Elephas maximus indicus: one gene and its partners. The protein of the gene in region 3 interacts with the protein of the main gene of each other region in a biochemical or structural test. Links are inferred from orthologs where the notes say so. Each region holds a gene or a part of one and is shown on either strand. Other genes may lie near its edges. The genes, in order: proto-oncogene Mas, ADRB1, SNTA1 and SLC6A3.

What was found.
Region 1: the proteins of SNTA1 (region 3) and proto-oncogene Mas interact in a test that uses a peptide from one of them, tested with the Homo sapiens proteins (2 studies listed by BioGRID and IntAct). The link is inferred for Elephas maximus indicus from reciprocal best matches to the Homo sapiens genes SNTA1 and MAS1.
Region 2: the proteins of SNTA1 (region 3) and ADRB1 interact in a test that uses a peptide from one of them, tested with the Homo sapiens proteins (2 studies listed by BioGRID and IntAct). The link is inferred for Elephas maximus indicus from reciprocal best matches to the Homo sapiens genes SNTA1 and ADRB1.
Region 4: the proteins of SNTA1 (region 3) and SLC6A3 interact in a test that uses a peptide from one of them, tested with the Homo sapiens proteins (2 studies listed by BioGRID and IntAct). The link is inferred for Elephas maximus indicus from reciprocal best matches to the Homo sapiens genes SNTA1 and SLC6A3.

What each region holds. Positions count from the first base shown.
Region 1 is NC_064819.1:232,290,585-232,296,906, reverse strand, and holds proto-oncogene Mas, read right to left. Parts: upstream 1,506-6,322; coding exon 528-1,505; downstream 1-527. UniProt on the Homo sapiens protein: Receptor for angiotensin 1-7. Acts specifically as a functional antagonist of AGTR1 (angiotensin-2 type 1 receptor), although it up-regulates AGTR1 receptor levels.
Region 2 is NC_064834.1:64,997,291-65,005,207, forward strand, and holds ADRB1 (beta-1 adrenergic receptor), read left to right. Parts: upstream 1-4,870; 5' UTR 4,871-4,973; coding exon 4,974-6,362; 3' UTR 6,363-7,734; downstream 7,735-7,917. UniProt on the Homo sapiens protein: Beta-adrenergic receptors mediate the catecholamine-induced activation of adenylate cyclase through the action of G proteins. This receptor binds epinephrine and norepinephrine with approximately equal affinity.
Region 3 is NC_064843.1:36,114,036-36,120,974, reverse strand, and holds the start of SNTA1 (alpha-1-syntrophin), read right to left. Parts: upstream 3,001-6,939; 5' UTR 2,889-3,000; coding exon 2,579-2,888; intron 1-2,578. UniProt on the Homo sapiens protein: Adapter protein that binds to and probably organizes the subcellular localization of a variety of membrane proteins. May link various receptors to the actin cytoskeleton and the extracellular matrix via the dystrophin glycoprotein complex.
Region 4 is NC_064820.1:12,234,918-12,242,500, reverse strand, and holds the start of SLC6A3 (sodium-dependent dopamine transporter), read right to left. Parts: upstream 3,044-7,583; 5' UTR 2,905-3,043; intron 1,112-2,904; 5' UTR 1,067-1,111; coding exon 781-1,066; intron 1-780. UniProt on the Homo sapiens protein: Mediates sodium- and chloride-dependent transport of dopamine. Also mediates sodium- and chloride-dependent transport of norepinephrine (also known as noradrenaline). Regulator of light-dependent retinal hyaloid vessel regression, downstream of OPN5 signaling.

The DNA of each region.
Region 1 (6,322 bases), on a different chromosome or scaffold from region 3:
TTCCTTTTCCTGTGCACATCTTGAAATCTTCCTGCTAATTTTTGTAGTCTGTGGAATATGTCCCAAGGATAGCTGAGGAGGGACTGAGTTATTTGATAGGTACAGCAATGATAGGTGCCTGACATGTACCTGGGCATTTCCAGAAGATACAGGGCAAGAGTACAATCTCATCGTTAATTAGTATCTCATGTACATGGAATGGGTGTTCTGTCTCATATTGAAACCCATAAACCAGTTGCCGTCAATTCGACTCTGACTCATGGAGACCCTGTGTGTGTCAGAGTAGAACCATGTTTCATAGTGTTTTCAATGACTGGTTTTTTGGAAGTAGATTGCCAGGCCTTTCCTCCAAGGCACTCCTAGGTGGACATGAACCTCAACCTCCAATGGTTAGCAGTGGAGCCCCTTAGCCATTTGCACCCCAGGGTCTCAGTCTCATATTTAGGAGACACAGAAATTGTATTCCAAGCACAAACTAAAAATTGTCTATGTACCCCTAGTTTGTCCACGATTTCCCTCCAGAGCCCTCAGACAATGGTCTCAACAGTGATGGTATTACCATTGTCTTCCTGGCGCCTTGGTTGCATTTCATCTTTGAAAGCCCGGGTGAGAACCACTTTTAAGGACTCCTTGAACCGCTTCTTCTTACTGCTGCCCACAAAGAAGTAAATAAAAGGGTTGGCGCTGCTATTGATGGTGGAGAAGAGAAGAGAAATGTGGTGCAGAGTCCCCAACGTTGACCAATACTCATAGTAGAGCAGGTAAAGGAGTCTTATGGGCATGGCGAAAATAAGGAATACAATGATGGTAACCAGGATGACCAGGTACAGCTTCGAGGAGAGGGAAGTCCTTGTGTTCTTTCGGATCTTAACTACCAAGATTATGCTGGATACCACCATGAGTGGAGTGAAGACCAGGAAGCTCAGAATGGCAATGAAGATGATCACCGCCCTGCAGTTGCTTCGAGGGTGGCCCTGCCCTCCACTGTCGATACACATGACGTATTCCATGGTGGTCACTAAGCAAGAAAGTGCCCACAGGAGGGCACACACGAATGCCGACTGGTGTTTGGGGCGGTGGCACCGGTACCAGATGGGGTACAGGACCAAAAGGCACCTCTCCACACTAATGGCTGCCAGCAGATAGAGGCCTGTGTTGTAGCCGAACAGAAAGGTCACCGATAAAGTGACAATTGTGTAGTAATAGCCAGAAGAAAGCTCATAATCAAGAGCATAGTCAACAGACAGAATAAAAATACAAAACAGCAATGAAATGTCTGCGATCGACAAGTGGGTGATGTAAACCGTGAAGGGGTTTCTTCTCACCCGGAAGCAGAGGAACCAGAGGAGAAGTCCGTTCTCCACAAACCCCAGCGGGGAGATGCTCATGATGACCCAGTGCATAACTGGGATTTCCTGGTGCGGAGGCCTCGTGGAGGTGTTCTGGCTCGTGGAGGCGTTCATGGCCTCCTCAGCCACAAATGATGTTACGTTTGATCCATCCATGAGGGAGTGCAGGCTGGGCTCTTCAGGTAATTTTCTGTAACCAAGTACAAATATATATATCATGAAAATTGGTGAACTGGAGCAAAAGGCTGAATTTTAGTTATGGGTCATAATCTTTATGTTATAAAAGGATTTTTAATAGTCTATACAATTCTCTTTCTAACAGCAAAATTCAACATTTTGTGAAGTGAGAGAATAGATTTAATGATTTTTGATCCCCAAGCCAAAAAATCCATTGCTGTCAAGTTAATTCCGACTCATAGCAAACCTATAGGACAGGGTAGAGCTGTCCCATAGGGTTTCCAAGGCTGTAAATTTTTACAGAAGCAGACTGCCACATCTTTCTCCCATGGAGTGGCTGGTGGGTTCGAACCACTGACCTTTTGGTTAGCAGCTGAGCACTTAACCACTGCACCACCAGAGCTCCTTTTTGATCCCTGAGAGCCCTTAATTCTGTATTATCTGTGCCCCAAAGCACACAGCATGGCAAGAGCATTCAAATTCCTGATGCCCATTTCCAGCTCTGCCCGAGCCTTCTGAATGGCTTTTTGAAAAATCATTACATCTTCTGTGCGTCCATTTCCTCACCTGAGGGACCCAGTTAATGGCACTGGAATGCAATGAAAAATTACATGCTTGGGCAATGTTGCTGTTGCCACTTTTTTAATACATAAAGTGCTGTATGCAATGGGTAATTGAGAGGGCATGCCTGGTAAAGTTCTGTTTAACAGTGCATCAGTATTTTTTGAAGTGCAAACAATGAAAAGGCATTTGTCGTATATGGTCTCAGCAAAGCTGGGCACCTACTCAGATGAGGTACGCCATGCAAACCAGTGCTCTCTGTGGAACAGATGGTAGCACTAACGAGGTGTATTTATGGCTCCACATACCATAGAGAGACCATCCAAGAAAACACTATTGACACAGATATTAATCAAACTACTGACGGGAAGCTGATAAAAATACTAAATATTTGAGGCTGCAAAGCAAAAATTTTCAGAAACTTTGCCTCGCTCTTTAGTCATTGCAAAACAAATAGCTGCAACAACCCGCCCTGCTGTCATGACACAAATACGCCTCACCCACTTCCCACCGTGGGTGAAAGGAAAAAGGAGGTAGCCAGCAGGGATCACCACCCTGGCACCAAGTCTAACTAGTTATCCTTGCTTTTTGAATGCTGCTCTTGCAGACCAGGGCCCCTTCATGTGCAAAATAATTAACCTTTCTGAAGCTGATCAAAAATTGATTAAATTAGTTGATATCTGCCTCCTCCTCATAAGCTCACTTGAAGCAGATACAGGGTATGGATGCTCTATGTTGTGGAGCTTGATAATATTAGACGTTTCCAGAAATGAATCAGCAGATCCCCAGCATTTGCAGGGCTCTGAGTTTCTTCTGAGGACAGCTGTGCCTGGATTACCAGTGGGCCTTCCCGTCAGTGAACTGGGTAGTTATCTCCCCTGTGGCAAGATTCCAGGAACCGGGGAACATCCCTGCTGACGCCATCTTAATCCCACTCTTTCCCACCGATGCTTTCCTCAGCTGCTCTGGCAGGGTGCTAAAGATTATCTTCAATGGGCCAAATCTCCTTTCATTTTGCAATCAGAGAGAAGATGCACACCACAAACACCCTTAGGAACACAGGATAAGGACCAGAATTCACAAGACCAGAGCATGGCTGACCAAGACCTGTTGTAGAAACAAGCTTTGTTCCAAGTTTGTAGGTAAGACTGTGTTGTTCCCAGAAGGGAGCTTCCCCCAACCCAATTCATCCATCAAATGCTTATTGAGTTTATTACGTATTTGCTGACTTCATGTCAGGTACTGTTCTAAGCACCTAGGATACAGCAGTGGGTGAAACAGACAAACCCCAACCTCTTGAAGTTTATATTCTAATGGGGAGACAATCAGTCATAAACAACAAAAACAGCAACAACACGTGAATACATATGTAAATAATCTGTGCTGGGGAGATAAGCAAAGCACACTGACCATGGTGGTTGTGATCAGATTGGACTCTGGGGGAACAAGGGCAGAAGGAAGGAGGCCAGATCCAGACGGAGAGCTGATGGCGGCCTGGACCAAGGTGCAGTGGTGGAGGCAGTAAGACCTGGTTTGGTTCTGGATATCATTTGATTTGCTGATGGTCTAAGTCATTGGAATAAGTGTTAAGACAATAAAATGAATAAGACACAGTGTTCTGCATAGCTTTGCAAGGGGCAGACAAACATGTTGTCAACCAAATCTAATTCAACAGAATAAGTGGAAGACAAGAGACCTGATTAAGTGTTGGGCAAGCACACAGCAGAATGCTGTGTATCAGGAGTTCAAGAAGGGCTAATAAGGCTGGGCCTTGAAGGGTCAAGAGGAGTTTGTTAGTTGAGGAAGGGAAAGAAAGGTAATTAAAAAAAGAGAACAGCATGGACAAAGGCATGCGGGCAGGAGGGTACAGAGTGTTCTTGGTGGAATTTGAGGAGTCTGGTCAACCTTTAAAAGCCCTAGTGGCACACTGGTTAAAGTGCTTGGCTGCTAAACAAAAGGTCAGTGGTTAAAACCCACCAGCCACCCCATGGAAGAAAGATGTGGCGGTCTGCTTCCATAAAGATTTATAGCCTTGGAAACCCTATGAGGCACTTCTACTCTGTCCTGTAGAGTTGCTATGCATCAGAATCAACTCGACAGCAGTGAGTTTGGGTGGGTTTTGGTCAACCTTTGGGTGAAGGTCTGATTTATAAGGAAATGAACAGCTAGAAGGAAGCACAAAAGGCTAGTTTCAATGCTTCTTAAGTGTCAGTCCTATTCTAAAGGCTATTGCTTACCCAATGGTGGTGCTTAAAAATCACATGGGGTGCTGATTAAAAAAGTAAACTCCAGGACATTCCTGTTTCAGGAAGTCTGAGATGGGGCCCTCGACTCTGAAAAATCGGAGTCTAGGGGATTCTAATGCATGTGGGTCACGAGCCACAGTGTAAGAAATGTGCCATTTGTAATCAAGCCATTAAAAGGCTTGACGCAGGCTGGGATATGACCTGAACTGTGCTTTAGAAACGTTTCTCGGGGGTAGTCTGAAGGCTAGGCGGAAGGGGCAACAAATGGGGCAAAGGAACCAGAGTGGGTTGTTGCAACAGTCCTGGTGAGAAGTAATAATTAGGATAGTGGTTGAAGGAGTGAAAGGAGAAAACGGCTTCCAGAGACATTCCAGAGAAGCCAGCTCAGGCCTGCCTGATTGTGAGGGGTGAGGGGGAGACAGAGATTTCCATCTAATGAGGCTGTGGAGACAAACTACTAAGGACCAAGATTAGGGACAGGAGGAGCAGCCAGCAGGGGATTTAGAGGGCTCAGAGCTTGGCTCAGGGAGCATTGAGCGTGAGGTGTTAGAAGAACATCAGTTAGGGCAGATTCCAGCTGTGTTTGCCTTTGTATTCCCTGTTCTCGAGTGCCTAACTGTTTTTATTTACTTACTTTGTTGTTGTTCTTGAGAATATACCCAAAACCAAACCCAAAAGCCAAACATGTTGCCTTCGAGTCAATTCCAACTCATAGGTACCCTATAGAGCAGAGTAGAACTTCTCCATAGGGTTTCCAAGGAGTGGCTGGTGGATTTGAACTACCAACCTTTTGGTTAGCAGCCGAGCTTTTAGCCACTGCGCCCTCAGGGCTCCAATACACAGGGAAACATACATCAATTCAGCCGTTCTACATGGACATGTCAGTGACACTGATTACATTCTTCGAGTCGCGCGACCATTCTCATTCTTCTTTTCTGAGTTGTTCCTCAGAAACTCACTGCCCCCTGAGGTTCCCGTCTTTGTTATCTATGTTTCTATAATAGAAATACCACAAGTGAGTGGCTTTAACAAACAGAAATCTATTTTCTCACAGTTCAGGCGGCCGGAAGCCGGGATTCAGGGCGCCAGCTCCAGGGCAAGGTCAAAGGTGTAGCGAGGGTAATGCGCTCTAGCTGTGGTACGTCCGCAGACATGCCTGCGCCCTCGGCGGCCTCAGTCAGGCACCTTTCATATTTATGGCGCCTGGCAATGTCATGCCACGCTTCATCTGGTCCCCCCACGCCCCCCTCTGTCCGCCCCCTCACTACGCCTCTGGGTGTTCCTTGACGTGCAGCTGGAGCATCTCTGTCCCCCTATCTCTGTGGATCTTCTCTTTATAAGGGCACCAGTCATATAGGACCAGAACCCACCCTACTCCAATATGGCCCTATGCTGACCTAACTGATAACATCTTCAAAGACCCTATTTCCAAATGAGGTCACATTCCTGAGGACCAGGGGTTATGACTTCAACATATCTTTTGTGGGGGGGGGTGGGGGGGGAAGTAATTCAATCCAAGGAACCTTAGTGGCACAGTGGTTAAGCCCCCACTGCTAACCTAAAGGTTCTTGGTTCAAAACCACCAGCCACTCTGAGGGAGAAAGATTGGGCAGTCTGCTACTGTAAAATTTTACAGCCTTGGAAATCCTATGGAGCAGTTCTACTCTGTCCTGTAGGGTCACTATGAGCCGGAAACGACTCGACGGCAGCGGGTTCAGGTTTTTAATTCAATCCATAACAAGGATTTTTGGATGAACTGGACTCCCTGTTCCCCGGAGGCTCACCTAGGGCAGCAAGGTTCACTGGGGCGTTTCTAAACACCACCTGGTGGCCTCCTCATGCTGAACGTGACTGTGGAAGTAAGACCTTAAATGTTTCATTTTGGGTTTTTCCCCTCAGGTGACACCAAACTTAATCACTGAAAGAAAACTCCACCTCCAGGTGCTGCCCCCTCTGGTGGAGGCAGGGATTAGAGGAGATTTGCTGGAT
Region 2 (7,917 bases), on a different chromosome or scaffold from region 3:
AGTGGCTTGTCCCTGTGTAAACTGTGGTTGTAAAACCAACATATGACCTTAAATCGCAGCCACGGGCGCAAGCTGTTCTTTGATTACTTAGCACTAAATGACTGTTTTAGCAGTTGTGTTTCTCATGTGAAGAGAGATATGTCTTCTCTCTGAAACAGTCACTTGAGCTCTGATTAATAAATTCCCCCACCTATTATCAGTTTCAAGACAATTTTTGCTAGCCAACTGTTTGGCCACGCTTCTTGATGTTTTACTTGGAAATCTGTCCCTCCCCAGGACTTCCCTGGGCCCACCTTCCACCAGCTGTGGAGGCAGTCTACTCCCCTTTCTTTTTTAACTTATGTTCTAGCAAAATCAACTCAAAAATGGAAATGTCTTTGCCGGTACCTGGTGCTGTTGACTTGATTCCAACTCATGGTGACCTCATGTGTTTCAAAGCGGCTGTGATCTTTCAGAAGTAGATCAAGAGGCCTTTTTTCAGAGGCATCTCTGGGTGTATTTGAATAGCCAAACTTTTAGTCAGTAGCCAAACACTTAACTGCCCACCCAAGGACTATATATTATGATGAGCCCACTGTCTTTGAGTCGCTTCCATCTCATAGCAACTCAACAGCACAGAGTAGAGCTGCCCCATAGGGTTTCCTAGGCTATAATCTTTACCGAAGCAGACTGCCACATCTTTCTCCCATGGAGTCACTGGTAGGTTCAAACTGCTGATTTGGCTAGCAGCCAATAAGATAGTACTTTTTATTATGCAACTTGCAGGGCCCCTTTGGAAAGCCTCTTGCCTATGTACTTCTTTATTCATTACTCAGTGTGGTATCTCATGAGCCTACCTTGAATTTGTAAGGTGTTTTGAAATGTTTACATGGAAATGCTGACTAGGCTATAGAAATTTGACTTATTATGACAAATTATAAGCATGAGTGAAAATTATAACTCTCAAAACACTAGATTATTTCTCATATGAGTAAATGTGAAATGGTTTAATATAATTAAAATATAAAATATTTATGAATCAATGCTAAGTGTTAATATTAGGTAAATATTAATAAACATGGAAGATATAAAAATGTATAGGGCAGCCCTGGCTCTTGGCGAGCTTATAATCTACAAGGAAATGCATTTCTGTGAGTGATAAAGCTAGAATTTGGTTGTAGAGGTACTTAAGTTTCTCTGAATTTCTGTTTAAAAAAATACATTAAATTAGAAACATTCAAAACCAGAAGGGTATTCTTGCAGGAGTTCCCAAGCAGGGCTATAAGCATAAAGAGAAAAACCCATTTAAAAATTAAATAACAATATAAGAGGCATCAAAAGGCAAGAGATTGCTAATTGCCACCTAAATGGCAACTGGAAGAGTAAGTCAGAGGAAGGAGAGACCATGTCTCGCAGTCAGGGACCAAAAAAAAAAAAAACCAAACCCATTGCTTTCATGTCAACTTTCTTAGCAGCCCTATAGGACAGAACAGAACTGCCCTATAGAGTTTCCAAGGAGCATCAGGTGGATTCGAACTGCCGACCTTTTGGTTAGCAGCTGTAGCATTTAACCACTACGACACAAGGTTTCCAGCAGTAGGGGGCAGGGAAGAATATAAAAGAAATAAGACTTCAGCCAGGTCTTGAAAACTGAATCTAGTGAGACAGAGGAGGAAGGGATTCTTGGTGGAAGCAATCAGCGGGAAAGAGTTGAGAGCCAAGAAAGGAAAGAGTTAAGGACTGCAGGTTAAGGTGACATGGACAGTTCCAATGAGAGAGAACTCTGGAAAGGCCATTTGGAACTGGACTGTGGAGGACATTGAATGTCAAGTAGAGTTCAGGTTTCTGAACAGAAAAGCATGTTGGTCAACGCCCTGTTTTAGAAATATTAACCCGACTGTGGTATGCCAGAGCAAATCAAGGGGACGGACTAGAGGCAGGGAGATGACATAGAGCCCGTGGCAGGTTCTGGTGTGGCGTGACGGACGTGAGATGGGAACAGGAGAGGTGTGGGTGGAAAACACTGAGAGAGAAGCACACTACCTCTCAAGTGTGCTGATTAGCATCATTGCTGGAGCTCTGTCATTTTCTAAAGTATTGTCCAATGTGTGGGTTCAGAGCTGATTCATTTTAACAATTGTAGATGGAGGATGGAGGGATGGAGGAGTTATTCATTTTGAAGTTGCAACCCCCAAAACATTTAATATCTGTGTAAGTTGATATGTTGAACCTTTTCCCCTTGATCTTGGATTCTCATCTAAACACTAAAAGTATTAGCCAAAGTATGTCTCAAAAAGTCATGAAATGGAGGAATTAAGGGAGATATGGGAACATTTTCTTTTAAAAACAAAGCTAATTCAAGTTCAGCATGGACTCTTCCAAACTTCTCAGTCAGTACGCCTGCAGGAAAGCCCCAAGAATAGCTGGCGCCCCTTTATGCTTATAGCCCTATTTGGGAACTCCTGCTAGAATACCCTTCCGGTTTTGAATGTTTCTGATTTAATGTATTTTTTTATACAGAAATTCGGAGAAACTAGATTTAAGTACCTCTACAACCAAGTTCTGCCTTTACTCACAGAAATGTATTTCCTTCACCCTTCAGGGGCACTTAAGGTTGCCACACTCTATTCTGGTAACACCACTTGACAGAAAGATGGCGCCAGATAGAACGCCTTTCCTCCACATTCCCCACCCCACAGCCAGGCACTCAGAACCTCTTTTCTGGGCAGCATCAATTTCAACTCTTTCTAATCCCCTGGTTATTTTGAGACTATCCCTTGAAGGCCTGAAAGAAGGATGCATTCTCCAGCCTCAACTCTTTCTAGACCCTCTTGTTTCCTGGCTCTCTCTCCTCATCCTCCTCAAATTGGCAGAAGTAGGCCGGTAAGTCCTAGGGGAGGGGCGAATAAACAAATAAATCACTCCCCAGTTGTAGCACTCTGAATACCAAGTTTGGACCTAAAGCATTTCTATATACTTAGATTTAAGTAAGAGAAGGTAGTTAAAACTACTTAACTTTATAAACTTAATAGGCATTGCTTTTTGCCCTTAAGCTGAGTAGCTATGGAAGTCAGTCTCTCTCTACAAGGTAAGAATATAAATTTGGTCCAGAAGTTGATGTTCCTTCCAGATGCTGATTTATTTTTATGCCAATGCTAGAAAGATGTGTGAGCATTATATAACATTTTCACATACCCTTGCATAAAAAATTAAAAGTGGTTTACTTCTCAAAGATGCAGTGAAACATTCTTATTTTTCAGGCCTGAGCTGAGGACATTACCATGGTCGATCAAATTAGAGAAGAGGGTTTGCTGTCGCTCTGATGTTGATGGCAATGCTATCAGTCCCCCCACATAATCCACCCACAAAGGGCAGATTTCACTGATTTCAAACCGATTCCCTAGCAACTCAAAAGCCACTGGTCTATCTTTAAATGCTTTCAGATTTTAAACCTCTTGAGTATTTATGTATTTTCTTTTCATATCCTTCCAAAACTAACCCCAGAGTTTTGAGAAATCTGGAAACTTGGGCAAAGGAGAAAACAACCCTGCAGACCAAGAAGTCTGAAATCGTATTTTTATTCCTTCAACCCAAACTGGCAGGACCTTTTTGTTTGTATTGACCCAGCTCAAATTATAAAACCATATAAGTAATAAAACACAAAATACAGGTGTTATCCCTGAAGGTAAAAAGACTGAAATGTAATTAAATGTGCCCTTTCTTCGTGGCGATGTCATTTACTTTGTAGGTTAATATTTGTGTTTCCTAAAAATCTCTCTGTTTTTATTACAAACACACACGGTTGCATCATACTCACACATTCATTATTTGGGACTGAGGAGTGTGTGTTTTTCCAACTCGGTCTCAGCGTTAGCTGTTGGATGCACAAACATCCGCCTCCTTTCTGCGTCCACTGCACTGGTACAACAGGAGCCGGTTGCAAGAACAGCGCCCCGAGAGCGTTGCTGACAGATGCGAGGTTTGCTCCTGCCACGCGCTCGGCTGGGAAGTTTCCTCTAACCACTGACACCCCTCTCCAATCCCCCGAGCTGACAGGACGCAGGCTGGCTGGGTCCCCTTTTGATGAGGGAAGGGTTTTGCACACACCCTGCTAGGTTGCCCGATCAAGAAACAATCTCGCTGCCAAACTCCTCCAACCTCAGCGGACAGACTGTCTAAGGCGCTCTGGCGCTTCAAGAACACCGAGGTCCCCTCCCGGCTAAAAGGAGCACGCGCTCTGCTCTGCAGGAGACCGGGCACTGGAGGTAGAGGGGAGGCCAGGGGGCCTGGGGGTGCAGAAGAGTTGGGGGAGGCGTTGAAGAGAGCGGGATGTGGAAGAGGGAGCCGGGCGCTGTAGGCAAGAGGGGCTTAGAAGCGAACGGAGCGTAGAAGCCAGTGGGCGGGGGGGGGGGTCACAGGACGGGGCGGGGACGCGGAAAGGAGCCCGGCGCGGTAGCCGGCGTTGGAAGAATGGGATGCAGGACTGGGCGCGCGCAGGAACCGGTGGGCTCCGAGGTGGCGCTCGCTCTGAGCTCTGCCCCCAGCTCCCCCAAGCCACTTAATTGCGGGTGAGAGGGAGGTGCGGGGACTTGGGGAGGGGGGGAACAAGATAGGGGCGTGCCTTGGCCCTGATAGGCTGCAGGAGCCTGACGCGACGCCCAGGGGGTTGGCTTGGACCGGGTGGGAGGGGGGTGGGGGGTGCTGGGTGCCGGAGCTGCGAGCCCGGCGCGCTCAGAAACATGCTGAGGTCCCGGCGGCTGTTCCAGCAGCGGCAGCGGCTCCAGCAGCAGCGGCGGCGGCGGCGGCGGCGACAGCGCTAGGCTTTGGCTCAGGCTGGGAAGGCGCCCGGCGTCGATGCCTCAGGTCCGGCACCGCGACTGTCCTGACCCGGCCGCGACCTGCCTCGGAGCGCCCCGCTGCAGCGGCTTCTGGGGTGTTCTCCAACCACGACCCAGCCCCGCCACACCCCCTGCCCCTGGCCTTCGCAGCTCGGCATGGGCGCGGGGGCGCTCGCCCTGGGCGCCTCCGAGCCCTGCAACCTGTCGTCGGCTGCTCCGCTTCCCGAAGGCGCGGCCACAGCCGCGAGACTGCTGGTGCCGGCATCGCCTTCCCCCTCTTTGGTGCCCCCAGTGAGCGAAGGCCCCGCGCCGCTGTCGCAGCAGTGGACGGCCGGCATGGGCCTACTGATGGCGCTCATCGTGCTGCTCATCGTGGCGGGCAACGTGCTGGTGATCGTGGCCATCGCCAAGACGCCGCGGCTGCAGACGCTCACCAACCTCTTCATCATGTCCCTGGCCAGCGCCGACCTGGTCATGGGGCTGCTGGTGGTGCCGTTCGGGGCCACCATCGTGGTGTGGGGCCGCTGGGAGTACGGCTCCTTCTTCTGCGAACTTTGGACCTCGGTGGACGTGCTATGTGTGACGGCCAGCATCGAGACCCTGTGTGTCATCGCCCTGGACCGCTACCTCGCCATCACGTCCCCCTTCCGCTATGAGAGTCTGCTGACCCGCGCGCGGGCGCGGGTCCTCGTCTGCACCGTGTGGGCCATCTCGGCCCTGGTATCCTTCCTGCCCATTCTCATGCACTGGTGGCGGGACAAGGGCGAAGAGGCGCTCCGCTGCTATGAGGACCCCAAGTGCTGCGACTTCGTCACCAACCGGGCCTACGCTATCGCCTCGTCCGTCGTCTCCTTCTACGTGCCCCTGTGCATCATGGCTTTCGTGTACCTGCGGGTGTTCCGCGAGGCCCAGAAGCAGGTGAAGAAGATCGACAGCTGCGAGCGCCGCTTCCTCGGCGGCCCCGCGCGGCAGCCCTCGCCCGCGCCCTCTCCGACCCCTCCGCGCGCCCCTGCCCCGGTGGCCAACGGCCGCGCTGGCAAGCGGCGGCCCTCGCGCCTCGTGGCCCTCCGCGAGCAGAAGGCGCTCAAGACCCTGGGCATCATCATGGGCGTGTTCACGCTCTGCTGGCTGCCCTTCTTCCTAGCGAACGTGGTGAAGGCCTTCCACCGCGACCTGGTGCCCGACCGCCTCTTCGTCTTCTTCAACTGGCTGGGCTACGCCAACTCGGCCTTCAACCCCATCATCTACTGCCGCAGCCCCGACTTCCGCAAGGCCTTCCAGCGCCTGCTCTGCTACGCGCGCCGGGACGCCCGGGGCTGCCATGCGGCCCCCGGCGACCGGCCGCGCGCCCCGGGCTGCCTGGCTGTGGCCGGGCCGCCACCGTCGCCCGGGGTCGACGACGACGACGACGACGACGTTGGGGCCCCACCGCCCGCGAGCCTGCTGGAGCCCTGGGCCGGCTGCAACGGCGGGGCGGTGGCGGACAGCGACTCGAGCCTGGACGAGCCGACCCGCCGGGGCTCCGGCTCGGAATCCAAAGTGTAGGGCCGGGCGAGCTGCGGGACGCCAGGGCCCCGCCACGCTGCCGGCCTGGGACGCGGAGTCTGCGTCCCGGGGAGGAGGAGCGCCCGGGCACCCTGGAATGGCTTCCCAGGGGAAAGGGGAGAGCTTGTGTTTACTCAAGACCGAAAGCAGGTGAATGCGACGCCCACAAACCTCGTCTGAATCAGCCAAGACAAAAAGAAAAGCCACGCACCGTTGCACGAAAAGGAAAGTTTGGGGAGGGATGGGAGAGTGGCTTGCGGGTTTTGCTGGAGTTCTTTGATGTTTGTGGTTGGCCTTCTTCTGTGTGTGCGGGTAATGCATCTTTAGATTTTTGTTTTCCCCCTCCACGTGGTTTTTTGACACTTTTCGACAAGGACCAGAGTGAAAGTTGGGTGGATAGGGGAAGGGAGAAGCATTAGGGAATAAAAGTATCTCGTTGGCGTCCACCCCATTCCAGGGGAACAGGAGCATTCAGCTGGGGCGGGGTAGGGGACAGCTTGTCAGGGCGTGTTCCCTTTTGCTTTCCAGACAGTTTTCATTTTAACTTCTGGGTAACGATTCCTCCTGTTCTTAAAGCAAAGCGAAAGGATGGATGCAGAAATCGTGTTTCAAGCCATTTTCAGCTATTCTTAGAACAAGCCTCACCTTGCTTAGCTTTCGCAGGGCTGACTGGCTGCCCCCGCCCGCCCCGCGCGCCTCGGTGGTCAAGCTGAGGGCGTTCTACCTCACACTGTGCATATTGCACAGCAAGATGCAAAGCCTTGTTTATATTAAACAGTTTATTTATGTATCAATATTAGTTTGAAGGACCAGGCACTGAGCCTTTGTGACATGTGACTCTGTCCCTTGAAGACGGGACAGAAAACTTTTCAAAAAAGGAAACAATTCTAGTATCAAAACAGATAACTGCACATTTGGGTAAAAACAAACAAAAAAGAGAGTGGCTCAAAATGCCATTTTTGCACAGTGTTAGAAATTTTGAAGTCCACAGATGTTACTTGCACAAAAAGAAATGAAATGTTTTTATGGGGTGGGGAAGTGTCTTAAAAACTAAAATAAAATTCGAACTCTTCTTCTGTTGTCTATTGTTATTTGAGCTAGCGATTTACTGGGAAAATACCTTTTTATACTCTTTTATCATGGTACTGTAACTGTATCCATATTATAAATATAATTATTTGAAGGTTTTTTTTTTTTTTATGTCCAAGTGTCCCCATGAATCTGCTGGTAAAATTTAGCACTCGTGTGTAAATTCTATTTCCTCTTGTGTGTTTTACCAAGTATTTATACTCTGGTGCAACTAACTACTGTGTGAGGAGTTGGTTCACGTGCAATAAATGCCAGTGAAGCACAATCAAGGTTATGTATGTGTGTTTGTAAAGGGTCAGTGATAATGGAAAGGACAGCTTGTTTTGCTCAAAATACAGATGGGATTTCCAAGATAGCCCTTCTAAAAGCTTTTCATGACTCAAAAATGTCTGTAGACCAAAAAGACAAAAAAAAAAAAAAGGCGAGCACCTCCTGAGAGCTGCAGACTTGCCCTACATTTTCACAG
Region 3 (6,939 bases):
ACCACATGCCAGGCACTGTGCTAAATCGTTTAAATGTCATCTCGGCACATCTTCACAACAGCCCTATCACACAGGCACCCTCAATTTGCTCTTAGGAAAACTGAGGTATGGAGAGTAGCCCTTTGCTTTAGTTCACCCAGCTAGTAAGTGGCAGAGCCAGGATTTGAACCCAGGTCTGCTGGCTCTAGATCCAACATTCTTAACCCTATAGTAGACTGTATGCTGGGTTCTCAGGTATCACACTCCTGGTCCATCCCCAGAGTTTTGAAAATGAGGAACTAGTGGCCCAAAGAAAGAAAAACCAAACCCATTGCCACTGAGTCAATTCTGACTCATAGCAACCCTAAGGACAGAGTAGACCTGCCCCACAGTGTTCCCAAGGAGCAGCTGGTAGATTCGAACTGCCAACCTTTTGCGTAGCAGCCGAGCTCTTAACCATTGTGCCACCAGGGCTCTGGCTCAAAGAAAGGAGGTCCTTATTCCAAACACAAAACAAGTTGGTGGCAGACCTGGGACTGGAACGCTTCTCCACCCTCCACACAAGCCCAAGAGTTTACCTGTCAAACTGCTCAGACTGAGGTCTAGGAGAGGAAGGGCTTTCTATCTTTGCTGCCATCTCTGACCTGGGAACCCTGGTGGTATAGTGGTTAAGAACTATAGCTGCTAACTAAAAGGTTGGTAGTTCAAATCTACTAGGTGTTTCTTGGAAACTCTATTGGGTGGTTCTACCCTGTCCTATAGGGTCACTGTGAGTTGGACTTGAACAAAACTGGTGTTTTTTTTTTTTTTGGCGGGGGGCGCCTCTCTGACCTGAAACTAGGGATTTTAATCCAGTTTGAAGCCATGATCATTCCTGGCTGCCTGCAGCTGCACTGGACCCTAGAAGGGCAGTCACCATGGCAACCACAGGAATTAGATGGAACTAGTACTTACCCTGAGCCTCCTAAAAGTACCCTCCTACCCACCCGGAAGCATGGAACTAGGGAGTAACTGTATGTGACCTTAGAAAGCCTCTGTTCTTCTCTGGGTCTTGGTTTGTCCATCTGAGAAATGGAACTCTATATAAACTCTAAGTTCCTTCCTTCTCTGACACACTGAGTGTACAATTTTTGGATTGGCCCACTTGCCCTATGCCATGCTGGGATTTGGGGGCAAAGCTAGTGCCTGCTCCCTGGCTTCCCCACTCCCTTCTTTTAGACACCCACTGTTGGGTGCCTGGGGACTTACCCTTCCACAGGAAAGAAACAATGCTAATGGGCACTCCCTACGTGGAGCAGGAGGCAGGGGGATGGTAGCCTCATAACTGAGGTTTAAATCTCAGCTATTCACTGTGTGACCCTGGGAAAATCGCTTCACCTTCTGAGTCTCAGTTTCCTCACCTGCAAAATGGGGGTTATACTCCCTTCCCTTCATCACTGTTGTCAGGATGTAGTAGATCCTGAGCCTACAGTACCTGGCACTCAATGGTGGCATTCACCTCCATCCTCATACCCACACCCAGGCCAAAGGGTCTGAAGGCACCAATGAACAGAGAGGACAGTACACATTCAGGTGATACGGGGGCTGGAACCCTAAGAAACAGACAGGCAGGAATGGTGAGCACAGCAGCTGAAGGTATGCAGGGATTATTTTAAGCAGTATGGTTAGTTGTTTCTGGAGTCTCTTCTGGCCTCCATTTTTCCTCTCATCTAACAGCAGTAACTAACCAAGCACCTACTATGTGCTGCCATGGTGAACACTTTAGACATCTGGTGTCAAAGAAACATCACAACCCTATCATTATCCTCATTATACAGTTGAGAAAACTGAGGTCCAGAGATGGGAAGTGACTTGTCTAAGTTCACACAGCAGATCCTGGACTCAAATGGAATCTGGTTGAGCCCCAAAGAAGGCTGTCAGTATTGGGGGCTGGGAGCTCACAGAGGAGCAGCAACTCTGGGTCTGCCCCTGTCAATCCTGTGCAAGGTGGGGAGGGTCGGATCAGGATTCAAGCCCAGAGGTCAGGGCCCCCTGGCTAGGTGCACAGCCTTCCTCAGATTTCTAGGTCCATTGTGGTGCCCTGTTTGTGACTGAAGCCTGTGTTTCCACCGTCTGCTCTCTGCCCCCGTCCTTCCCAGACCCCATGCCCTGCCCCCACTTGGTGATGTCTCAGGGACTCCCCCTCACCACCCCAGTAGTGTCCGAGGCCTCGCCTTTCTCCACCCTCTGCTCTCCAGCTGCCCCTCTTGTCCTTGGTGCCCATGCTAGTTGCCCTCCTCAGGTCCCTATGTCTCCACACAGAACTCCCCACCCACATGTCCTTGGTGCGCTCCTAGCCCTCTCTGACACCTGAGACCTCCGGTCCTTGACGACCCCCCCTGCACTGTCAGGGGCTCCCCTGCATTGTCAGGGGCTCTAAGTGTCCGACCTTGGTGCTCCGCATGCCCCGGGTTCCCTCAGCTCCCTCAGATTCCCCATTCCCTCAGACTGAAGGCCTCCAAATCCATGTCCTCAGTGAGCCGCCAGCTTCCACGACCCCTGCGCCTCCGGCGGCCCCACAGACACCACGACCCTGTGCCCTCTGTGCCACCGCGCCCACCTTTGATGCTGATACCCAGCCCACCGGCGTCGGCCTTGCGCACTGTCACGCGGCGCCGCTGGAGCAGGAGCCCCTCGGGCAGTTGCGGGGGCGCCGCGCCCGGCTCAGCGGCGCCGTTGAGCTGCGCGGGCTCCGGCTCCCGCGGGGCGCCGGGATCGGGGCCGGGCTCGCCGTCGGCGGGGCTCACGGTCAGAGCGTCCTCCGCCAGGCTGAGCAGCACCGGCTGCCACCGCTCGCCGCCGGCCCCCGAGCCTGCCCCGGCGCGCAGCTCCAGCAGCCCGGTGCGCGGCGCGCGCCTGCCTGCCGCCATTTTCGCCTCCGGGGCCCCCGGCCGCCGCGCTCGCCCGGCCCCGCCGTGCCGGCCCGCTCCGACCGAGCGCCCAGGGCACAGGGCAGCGGGGCCCGGCTGGGCCAGCCGCCACGCTAGCCCGGCCGCCGCGGGTAGCGCCTCAGGGGCGGGGCGATCTGCGGGCGTGGCCGCAGCTGGGGCGGGGCGACCTGTGGGGCGTGGCCCGCAGCTGGGGGGGTGGTCTGTGGGCGTGACTCGAAGTTGGGGCGGGGAGGTCTGTGGGCGGGGCCTGCGGCTAGGGGCGGGGCCCCATGCGGCCCGCGGGAGGCCGGGGCGGGGCGAAGCAGTGTGGGACCCACTGGGCAGCCGGCCCGCGAGGGAGGCGAGGAGCCGGCGAGGTGCGGGTGTCCCGGCGGGCCATGCAGGGGGCGGGGTTCATGGCGGGGACGGGGCCCTTGGTTCCAGTGGAGGAGACTCCGCGCTGCTCAAGGCCGTCGAAGGCCCGGATCGTCGCTCACAAAGGTGGGCGCACAAGAACGCGGGCAACAGCACGGGTCCTCGGGCGAGGCTGTGGGCGTCGGGGCAGGGCTGCGTAGGGCGGAGCGCCGGACTCCAGTTCAGGGCTTGATTTTAAGAGGTGAACGCCGATCCAAGAGGGTCTTTGCAGTTGGGGCTGCTGCTGGGGTAGCTTGGACAGGGCTGGTTTCCCGTTTGGGTTGGGGGTGGGTGGGAGTTGTATGTGGGCGTGGCTTAGTGTGGCGTGTGACTTCTAGAGCCCCGCCCATGGGATAAGCGCGAAACAGCCGTATTTAGGGCTTGGCGAGAGGGTGAACACGCTTCACGCTTTGAAACTGGAGGCGAGTTTCAGAGGTTAACCCTCTTGACTGAGTACGTCGAGCCCCAGTGAAGCCTGAAGTCTTGCACTTTGAAGTCTGGCGGGAGGAGAACCCAGGACTTTTGGCTGGACTATGGGTGTGGGCTCTTGGTTTTCTGTTCCAGCTCAGATACTCTGTTGGCTCCATGTCAACCTTAGTCGAGTCACTTCACTTCTCTGAACCTTAGTTTCCTCATCTGTGAAATGGCCAGACTCAAGCCTTGTGTAAGGATCAAATTGATGTGAAAACACATTGTGGGCTGTGAATTACTGTGCTATCAATATAACCACTTTCGTTTATCGAATGCTGTCTATTGGCCAGGCCTAGCACTGAGAATTTTTCATGTGTTATCTTTACAGTAGCCTCATGGAGTAGCTACTGTTAGGAATACCCCCTATTATACCAAAGCTGTTGCGCTCAAGTCCATTCCGACTCATAATGACCCTATAGGACAGAGTAGAAGTGCCCCATAGAGCTTCCGAGGAGCACCTGGTGGATTTGAACTGCTGACCTTGTGGTTAGCAGCCATAGCTCTTAACCACTGTGCCACCAGTGTTTCCACCCCATATTATACAGAAGGGAAAACTTGGATTTAGATGGTAAAATTGGCCTAGGCCACATGTTTTATGTGGGGCAGAGCTGTCTGACCCCAGTGCATCCTTATCAGAAAAGCCCTGCCTCTGCCCCAATCTGCCCTCAGGTCTATCCCCTGTCTCCATCCTCCCCCCTAGGGATGTGTTGGGCAATAAATAGGTAGGGCCACATCAGTATGTACATTTTCTGAGCCTTTTGGTTAGATGTCTCCACATAAGATGCCATCATGAAGAAAAAACTCAGAAGAAAATTGGTACATATATAAGATTGTCCACAGCAGCCTTAGGTTGGCAAATAACTAGACAAACCCAAGTGTCCAACATTAGTGGAGTGGGTCTATGCCACTGAAAATCCACTGAGACCACATATAAAACATATGTATATTATGCGCATGTACATGTAATATATAAATGCAAGTTATTCAATGTTTGTATCTTAGGCTAGGTTCTCTAGAGAAGCAAAACCAGCGAAGCATCTATAGATATATAGAGAGCAGAAAATTTATATCAAGGAAATGGCTCTCACAGTTGTAAAGCCTGGAAACTCCAGGGTCCATGGATCAGGCTGGAGGCTTTTCCAGCTGCTGGTGCTGTCGAACACAAACTTGGCAGTTCATACAACAGGCCTCTGGCTCACAGGCTGCAGAGGCCGACAAATGCTGAGATCGGCAGGTAAGGTGCTAGTTCAGGTCCCAAGAACTGAAGGTCAGATGAACAGGAGCAAGCTGCAGGTTCCAGAGTGAGCGAAAGCTCACCAGCCGTGCCAGAAAGTCCAGCTGTATTGGATGCAGGCCACACTCCCAAGGAAACTCCATTTCAACTGATTGGCTGCTCACAGTAGAGCCCATCATGGAGGTGATCACATATCGGAGCTCATCATGGAGGTGATACGTCGTCACATAACTGCCAAACTGCATCATAACTGCCAAACTGCATCATAACTGCCAAACTGCATCATAACTGCCAAACCACTGAGAATCATGGCCCAGCCAAGTTGATGCAGAACCTTAACAATCACATTTTGCTATATGTTGGTACATGAGCTGGCTGATTTAGATACATTCTGTCATTTAAACCTCATATAAATCTTGCACAGGCTATGTATTATCCCCATTTTATAGATGGGAAAATTGAGGCACACGGCTAGTAAGTATAGACCTCTACTCTAAGCCAGGACTGTCTGACTTCCAAGCCCATATCCCTCCTTCTCCTTTCTGCAGCCCACATAGCAGCAAGGGGTGAGTTTAAAATTCATTCATTCATTCAACAAATATTTATTGGACATCCTTTATGTGCCAGACATAGTGCAAAGTTATAAACAAGACAGTTGGAGCCTCACCTTATAGAACATATAATCCACTAGGAATCAGGATCCTATAGTGGTTAAGACCATGGGCTTTGGATTCGGACTTCCTGAGTTCAAATTCTCATTGTGCCATTTCCTGTCTGTGTGACCCTGGATATGTTATTTAACCCCTGAGTTTTCATATCGTGATCTATAAAATGGGGATATTAAAGGTACTATCTCTTGGAATTACTAAGAGGAATAAATAATGCTGCTAAACTGCTTAGCACAATTCCTGTACATAGTAAGCATTCCAAAAATATGAGGTGCAGTTATCTTGGGAAATAGACATCAATGAAATAGCCTTACTTTCGGGGGAAACATGCATGACGAAGAGACAGACACACACACAAAAAGAACCCAGGGTCTGGCATATATGTGACATGCAATAAATATATAGAAGAAAGAAAAGCAGAAAAGGGGAACGAAGAAAAGGAGGAGGGAGGGGAGAGAGAGGAAGAAAGAAAGAGAATATAGCATTGTATATCATTGTTGAAGTATGACTGTGCTAAAGATTGGAGAGCAGCCTGAGAAATGTGAGGATAAGCAGTTGTGATAAATGAGAAGTGTATCCTACTTTTGGAAACTTTACCGGTAAAGAAGAGAGAAAAGGCATCAGGCGGAAGGCAAGAGGCTGGGGGAGGTGAGCTTACTTTCCCAGGACCAAAGCCTTGAGCCAGGTCCTTAAAAGTCCCCCCACGTACTGCCCTGCTTAAAAAAGAATTAATGAGCCCCAGACAAACTTGGTGGGAAAGAGGCTTGATACAGTTCCTCCCCTGGGGTGCTGTATTCTGTGGCTACAATGGGAAGGGAGGAAGAAGAGGGATGGTGTGTGTAGAATAAGAGAAAACTAGCAGTGAAGGAAGAGTGGTGCAGAGCCAGCAAAAACACTGTTGTGTGCATGTGTGTTTGTGTATATGTGTATGTGTGTATTTTGTGTATATGTATGTATATGTTTATGAGTATGTACATGCGTTTGTGTGTGTGTGAATTCTTGATCACAGAGCTGAGGCAGGAGCAATCAGCTGTACCCTTGGCAGCTACCCCCAGGATCCGTGTAGTTGGAGGAATGTTCCGCTCATCCACTGCGGTCAGTTGATGCCTCCCTGCTGTGGCTCAGACTGGCCTCCCAACACACACGTGCACACACACAAACACACACGCTCTCTCTCTCTCTCTCTCTCCTGGCTCTCCACATAACCCCAGGCAGGGCTTCCAGAGGAGTCCAGTTCACTTCCAAGGGATTGGAGAGGCCAGAG
Region 4 (7,583 bases), on a different chromosome or scaffold from region 3:
AGGAAACTCTTCTGAAACCCCTCATTGCATAGCACAAAGTAGTCAGTACATTGTGGAGGTGCGGAAGGGCCAATAAAGACTTGTGGAAATGACCACCAATTTAATTGGCTTCTCAGCTTGAAGGTTTTGGGTGGCCCTGCCGTTATTTTAATTTTCTGATTCAAGTCCAGAAACAGACATGATTGTGTGGCTAGTTGAGTTCAGGAAATGATGGGGGAAAGGAGTGGAAATGGGCACATTTCCAGGGGCATCTCCTGTTGCTTTGAACCCCTCACCCTTTGTCTTCTACCCAGTCTCTTTGCTTGCTTCTTCCTCATTGTCTTCCTCTCTCTGTCTACCCAAAGCCCAGATGATGACTGGGTTAGAGAGTGGGAGAGAAAACACTTCTACCTCCTGATCCAAGTTCAAGGGCCTCCAAATGCTTTGCAAATACATGTATGCAACCAACAATACCAATCTTTGGGCCTTTGAGAATTCTCTTCCCAAAGTGAAAACAACTGCTGGACCTAGGAAGCAGGGCCCAGGTGCCTCTAGCTACTTCCTCCAAGTTCCTTCTTTCCTGGCCTTGAGTTCCTCAAATGCAAAACTCAGAGATGGAGCCAGATTGCTTTGAGCTCGTATTCTATAATTTTGCAAAATCCATCTGGGATACTAAGCCAGTACTCATCACCGCCCAAGAGGACACTATTTTCTTATCAGTGCTTACCCATACTGCCTCTAGCTGCCCCTTGGGCCCTCCAGTATAGCAGCAGCATACGGCAGGGCTGAGATGGGACTTACCACCACCATTTTTGTAGCAAAGGTAGGGAAACCGCCAGACGTTGGCCAAGTCCACTGCGAAGCCAATCACAGAGAGGAGAAAGTCGATTTTCTTGCCCCAGGTCTCCCGCTCTTGGGGCTCTACAGGGGTTTGGGCTGGGTTGATGAGGGTGGAGTTTGTGAGCTGCACTCCATTTTGCTCCTTGACCAGAATAAGCTCCATCTCCTTCGGGCCCATGGCATTGGGCTCCTTAGCTGGAGCCACCATGGAAGACATCAGTCCAATTGAGCATTTGGTTTTACTCATGGGCAGACTTGGAATCTGGAAATTCTACGATTCTTCCCTCTTGGTCTTCAGCCCACATAAAAAATGAACACACACAGGAATGCAATTATTCAACAGATCAAGACTATGTATGTGCCTCCTTTCAAGAGGAGAGATCGTATGCATTGCCGTTCATCGTCTTAGGGGTGGAACAGGTGTGTTCCCAGAACCTAAGCACAGCCCAGGTTCAGAATGGTCAGAGGCTGGATCAAAGAGAAGGCCTAGGGAGCCGAGGTAAGGAGGTTCTGTTGGTGGGGTTAGGGGAGGGAAAGCCGGTAGGGAGCTCAGGACAGCTTGGCTTTGCTCCCTCTTTCCCCATGCACCTCTCTTCTTCCTTATCAAAGTGCCATGTTTATGTAATCTCTAATTATGCAGTCCAATAATAACATGAAGATGTTACCCCCACCTCGGGCTCCCGCACATTTCCAGGAAGTGATTTTACAATCTTCAAATACCATTCAAGAGCAAATCTTAAAAACAGTCTGCATATGTATTCTTTACATTCAGTAATAAAATTAAGAGTAAACTGTGTATCATGGAAAGCAGCCACAGTAATTGACGTTTAAAAAATAACTATGAGAACAGTTTAAGGAATGCCTGTACCATCCACGTTCACCTGTGGCCCTGGGAGACTTCATGGATTCCGCCCAAGAAAGTTGCAGAGATGAACAGAGCACATTAAATTTTACATGAGAAACGGGACAAACTGGTCTACTTATCCACTTTACCAGGGAAGTCCTTTTCAAACTGCTTTCATAAAAGTTTTGAGTAATGAAGCAAAGAGGACTAGGGGAATTTACACATACACTGCCACAGCCAAGGGCGAGGTGGCCCCTCACAGCCCGAGAGCAACTTCAGAGAGGGTTTTTCTTGGGGTGGGGGAGACAGTATTTGGATCCAACAGCAGTGTTTCAGTTGCACACACCCACACTGTCCAGTGCCCGCATATGTAGGCAGAGAACAGCATCGCAGAAGCTGGAGTGCCACCATTTTTCTCTGCATCCAAGTCTGTGCAAACACTCACGACCTAAGTTATTTTATTCTCCAGTCTTCAGTGGCCTCTTCACTTCCCAGTGACAAACCTAACAGTCCATTCCTCAGACTTGGAAAAAACGCGTGGAGGAGGGTGCCTAGGCTTTGGGGCGTGGACCGCAATGGGTTTTACCTTGGGACAGAGTGGGAAGCTATTCAGAGTGCAAGACCCAGGTGATCAGATCCTGGACCCCCTCCCCACGTCTCAGAACCCCACCCCACGCTCAACAGTTAGAGAAAACCAGAGCCCACTCCTGAGCCCTCGGCCTCAGAGACGATGTTTGGGGTATAGGAAGCAAAAGGTGGGTCTCTTATAAAGCGTCTTTCCTCACGGCCCCCAAGACAAGAAGCCGCTTGCTGAGAAATGGTCATTCGCCCCCGTCCTTCCCTGCACCAGCGACCCGCACAGCCCTGCAACTCTCCGCTTGAGGTCTTGAAAATCAAAGACAAAAACACCTCCTTCCAATGCTCCCGGATCGGATCTCAGGGGCCGCGTTATGTGTTTAGAAGAAAGGACCCAGATCAGCTCACCTTCACGTTGTCTATTTCGGTAAAGGGGGAATAGGGATACGAAGCCGCAGCCACAAACACCCGCGCGCCCCGAGTTTCCGCCACAGGACTGGCGCGAGGGAAGCGCACAGAGATCCCAGTGCTTCCGCCCTGCCCGCGGCGCCCGGGCCAGGCGCTTCGCGGGGGAGGGGGGGGCCGGGGCCACCCCGGGGCCACCGACCGTCTCCAGGTCGCCATCGCACTGAGGGCGCCCGGCGCGCCCTCGGCCCGGTCCTTACCTGCCCGCCCGACGGCTCCTCGTCGGCCCGCCTGACTGTGCGCAGGTCCCGGCCGCAGCGTCCACGCAGGCTCGGCTCTGGTTCAGCGCTGGGCACCGCGGCCGGCTCTTATGTGGCGCTGGGCGCCCCGCCTGCCAGCCTCGCCTCTGCCCGCCCCGCCCCGCGCCCCCCGCGCCCCAGGAGGCGGTGCCGCGGCTCTCGGCCCGAGGTCGTGCGCGTCACCTCGGGCCGGGGTGTTGCGGGGCCGAGCTCGGCCGGGTTCCCAGCGGGAACAGCCTGGGTCAACTCCCACCCCGGCCACACCTCCCGCAGCTGCCCGGTGGCCTCTTGCTGCTCTTGGGGCTCCTGGAGACCGCCACTTGGCCTCAGCGACGCCGGAGGAGCAGGCACCTGCGGGGAAGGAGCTGGCGGGAGGGTGCGCGGAGCCCCAGATCTCACCGAACACTCCCCCAGACCCCGGAGACCTCCGCGGCCACCTCTCCCGACCCCTCTCGCGGAGTCCCAGCACCGAGCAGTGGGCGACCGCGGGGCGGGGCTCCCTGGTCCGCGGAGGGTATCCACCTCGCTTCCCCAGGCCGGACCGGAGCTGAGCTCGTCAGCACCTTAGCCGGGGTCTCCTCCTTCCCTCCTCGGGCTGCGCGCCCAGATGGCCAGTTGTCCCCTTGCCCGCCCTGGAGCCGCCCAGGCTTGAGCTACCCAGTCGCGAATCCTTCTGTGGCCCCCAGCGCGGGCCTTGCTCGGAGTCCGGTTCCTCGGCGGCGTCGTCGGGGCAAGGGAGCTGAAGTCTCCGCTGAGTGGTGCTGACCTGCCCTTTGCCAGCATCCAGCGCTCATCGATTGGAAGCAAGTGGCTCCAGTTATCACGCATTGGAAAACGATTTTCCCAGATGCGCGGGCCTGGTGTGCTCTGAAAGCCGCAGGCGGTCGATCCGTGGCTCTGATCTACGTGGACCCAAAGTCTCCTTCTCAAAAATGTTCCCAGGCAAGATTTGACACTCAGTACTTGGGATTTTTTATTTTTTTTTTACTTGGGGGACTGGAGCCCTGGGTCCATTAAGGGAGGTCCAGGAGCCCAGGTGCAGAGAAGGCACGTTGGTGAGCAGCCCCGACCTGGCTGTGCACATCCTGTCCAGGATAACCCAAACCCCTGCATCAGCCTTGCTCCAGATCGTCTCTTTGCTGGGCACACTATACAGGCATACCTCGTTTCATTGCACTTTGAAGATAATGTGCTTTTTACAAATTGAAGGTTTGTGGCAACCTTGTGTTAAGCAAGTCTATCAGTGCCATTTTGCAACAGCGTGTGCTCACTTCACATCTCTGTGTCACGTTTTGGTAGTTTGTGAAGTATTTCAAAAATTTCATTATTATTATATCTGTTACGGTGATCTTTGATCAGTCATCTTTGATGTTACTATTGTCATTGTTTTGGGGTACCACAAACTGCACCCATATAAGACAGCAAACTTAATGGATAAGTGTTGTGTGTTTCTGACTACTCCACTGATTGGCTTTTCCCCACCTCTCCCCCTCTCCTCGGGCCTCCCTACTCCCTGAGACATGACAATATTGAAATTAGGCCAATTAATAACCCTACAGTGGCCTCTAAGTGTGCAAGTGAAGGGAAGAATTGCATGTCTACCACTTAAAACCAAAAGCTAGAAATGATTATGCTTGGTGAGGAAGGGATGTTGAAAGTTGAGACAGGCCAAAAGCTAGGCCTCTTGCACCAGTTAAGCATTTCGGGAAAGCAAAGGAAAAGTTCTTGAAGGAAATTAAAAGTGCCACTCCAGTGGACACACGAATGATAAGAAAGCAAAACAGCCTTATTGCTGATATGGAGAAAGTTTTAGGTCTGGATAGAAGATGGGACCAGCCACAACATTCCCTTAAACCAAAGCCTAATCCAGGGCAAGGCCCTAACTCTCCTCAATCTATGAAGGCTGAGAGAGGTGAGGTAGCTGCAGAAGAAAAGTCTGAGGCTAGCAGAGGTTGGTTCATGAGGTTTAAGGAAAGAAGCTGCCTCTATGACATGAAAGTACACAGTGAAGCAGCAGATGCTGATGTAGGAGCTGCAGCAAGTTATTCAGAAGAGCCAGCTGAGATGATCGGTGAGCTGGCTACACTGAACCACAGACTTCAAGGCGGGCGAAACAGCCTTATACTGGAGGGAAACGCCATCCTGGACTTCCAGAGCTGCAGAGGAGTCCATGCCTGGCTTCAGAGCTTCAAGGGACAGGCTGACTCTCTAGTTAGGGACTAATGTAGAAGCCAATGCTCGATTACTGTTCTGAAAATCCTAGGGCCCTTAAGAATTACGCTAAATCTATTCCGCTTGTGCTCCATAAATGGAACAACAAAACCTTGAAGACAGCACATCTGTTTACAACATGGCTTACTGAATATTTTAAGCCCACTGTTGAGATCAACTGCTCAGAAAAAAAAAAAAAAGATTCCTTTCAAAATATTAATGCTGATTGAAAATGCACCTGGTCACCCAAGAGCTTTGATGGAGATGTGTAAGAAGATTAATGTTGTTTTCATCACTGCTAACACATCCGTTCCACAGCCCACGGATGAAGCAGTAATTTTGACTTTCAAGTCTTATTATTTAGGAACTACATTTCCTAAGGCTATTGCTGCTGTAGATAGTGATTCCTCTGATGGATCTGGGCAAAGTAAGTTGAAAACCTTCTGGAAAGGATTCACCATTTGTCTTAGTCATCTAGTGCTGCTATAACAGAAATACTACAGGTGGATGGCTTTAACAAAGAGAAGTTTATTTTGACACAGCCTAGTAGGCTACGAGTCCAAATTCAGGGCACCAGCTCCAGGGGAAAGCTTCCTCTCTCTGTTGGCTCCAGAGGAAGGTCCCTGTGATGCATCAGTCTTCCCTTGGTCTGGGAGCATCTCAGCGCAGGAACTTCAGGTCCAAAGGATGTGGCTCTGCTCCTGGCACTGCTTTCTTGGTGGTATGAGGTTTCCCTGTCTCTCTGCTTGCTTCTCTCCTTTATATCTCAAAAGAGATTGCCTTAAGACACTACCTAATCTCATCAATATAACTGCCACTAATCCATCCCGTTACATCGTAGGGTAAGATTTACAACACTTAGGGAAATTTCATCAAATGACAAAATAGTAGACAATCATACAGTACTGGGAATCATGACCTAGCCAAGTTGACAGATATTTTTGGGGGACACAATTCAATCCATGACACCACTCTAAATGCCATTAAGAACATTCGTGATTCATGGGAGGAGGTCAAAATATGAACATTAACAGGAGTTTGGAAGAAGTTGATTCCAACCTTCATGGATGGCTTTGAGGGGTTCAAGACTTCCATGAAGGAAATAACTGCAGATGTGGTGGAAATAGCAAGAAAACTGGAATTAGAAGTAGAGCCTGAAGGTGTGACTGAATTGCTGGAAACTCATGATAAAACTTTAACGGATCAAGAGTTCCTTCTTGTGGATAGGAAACCCTAGTGGTGTAGTGGTTAAGAGCTACAGCTGCTACCAAAAGGTCAGTAGTTCGAATCAATCAGGCAACTCTATGGGGCAGTTCTTCTCTGTCCTGTAGGGTCACTATGAGTTGGAATTGACTCGACAACAATGGGCTTCTTATGGATAAGCAAAGAAAATGGCTTCTTGGGATGGAATCTACTCATGGTGAAGATGATGTGAACATCGTTGAAACAACAACAAAGGGTTTAGAATATTAAATACACTTAGTTGTAAAGCAATGGTGGGATTTGAGAGGATTGACTTCAATTTTGAGAGAAGTTCTACTGTGGGTAAAATGCTATCGAACAGCATCACATGCTACAGAGAAATCTTTCATGAAACGAAGAGTCAATTGATGCAGCAAACGTTGTTGTCTAATTTTAAGAAATTGTCATAGCCACCCCAACCTTCAGCAACCAGCACCCTGATCAGTCAGCAGCCATCAACATGGAGGCAAGATCCTCCACCAGCGAAAAGATTATGACTTGCTGAAGGCTCAGATGATGGTTAGTATTTTTTAGCAAGAAAGTGTTTTTTAATTAAGGTATGTGTGTTGTTTTTTAGACACGATACTATTGCACACTTAATAGACTGTAGTATAAACCAAACTTTTAAATACCCTGAGAAACCAAAAAAAAAAAAAATTGTATGACTTGCTTTATTGCGATATTCACTTTATTGCACTGGTCTGGAACCAAATCCACGATCTCTCTGAGATATGCCTGTAATGGGGTGCCCACCCGAGTCCTAGGCTCACTACGCCTGTCTTGGCCACACATGCCCCTGCTCAGCAGTGTTCCCTCCCCTTGGTACACAGGACCTCAGAGCCCTGGCTCCCCACATTCCCATTTCCTCCACCGTGGGGCCCCTCCGGCTCGGACCTAGAGGCTAATCTCCTCATTCTGCCCATCCCCACCGCTCCTGAGGACTGGACTGGTACAAAGCGAAGTCTGAGAAACCACTGAGAAAGCTCTCAGGAACAGTTCTTCTAAGCTTCATTAGGATCAGGGGAGAGGAATGGTGACCAGGAAGGTGTTGGGGACCTCAGGGAGCCCCCTAGGATCTGATGTGCCAAGCACCATCACACAAGGCCTTTTTTTCCAAACATGTCTCAACAAAGCAGATTTAAAAAAAAAAAAAAAAAAAATGTAACTAGATGATGCAGCCCTTATTA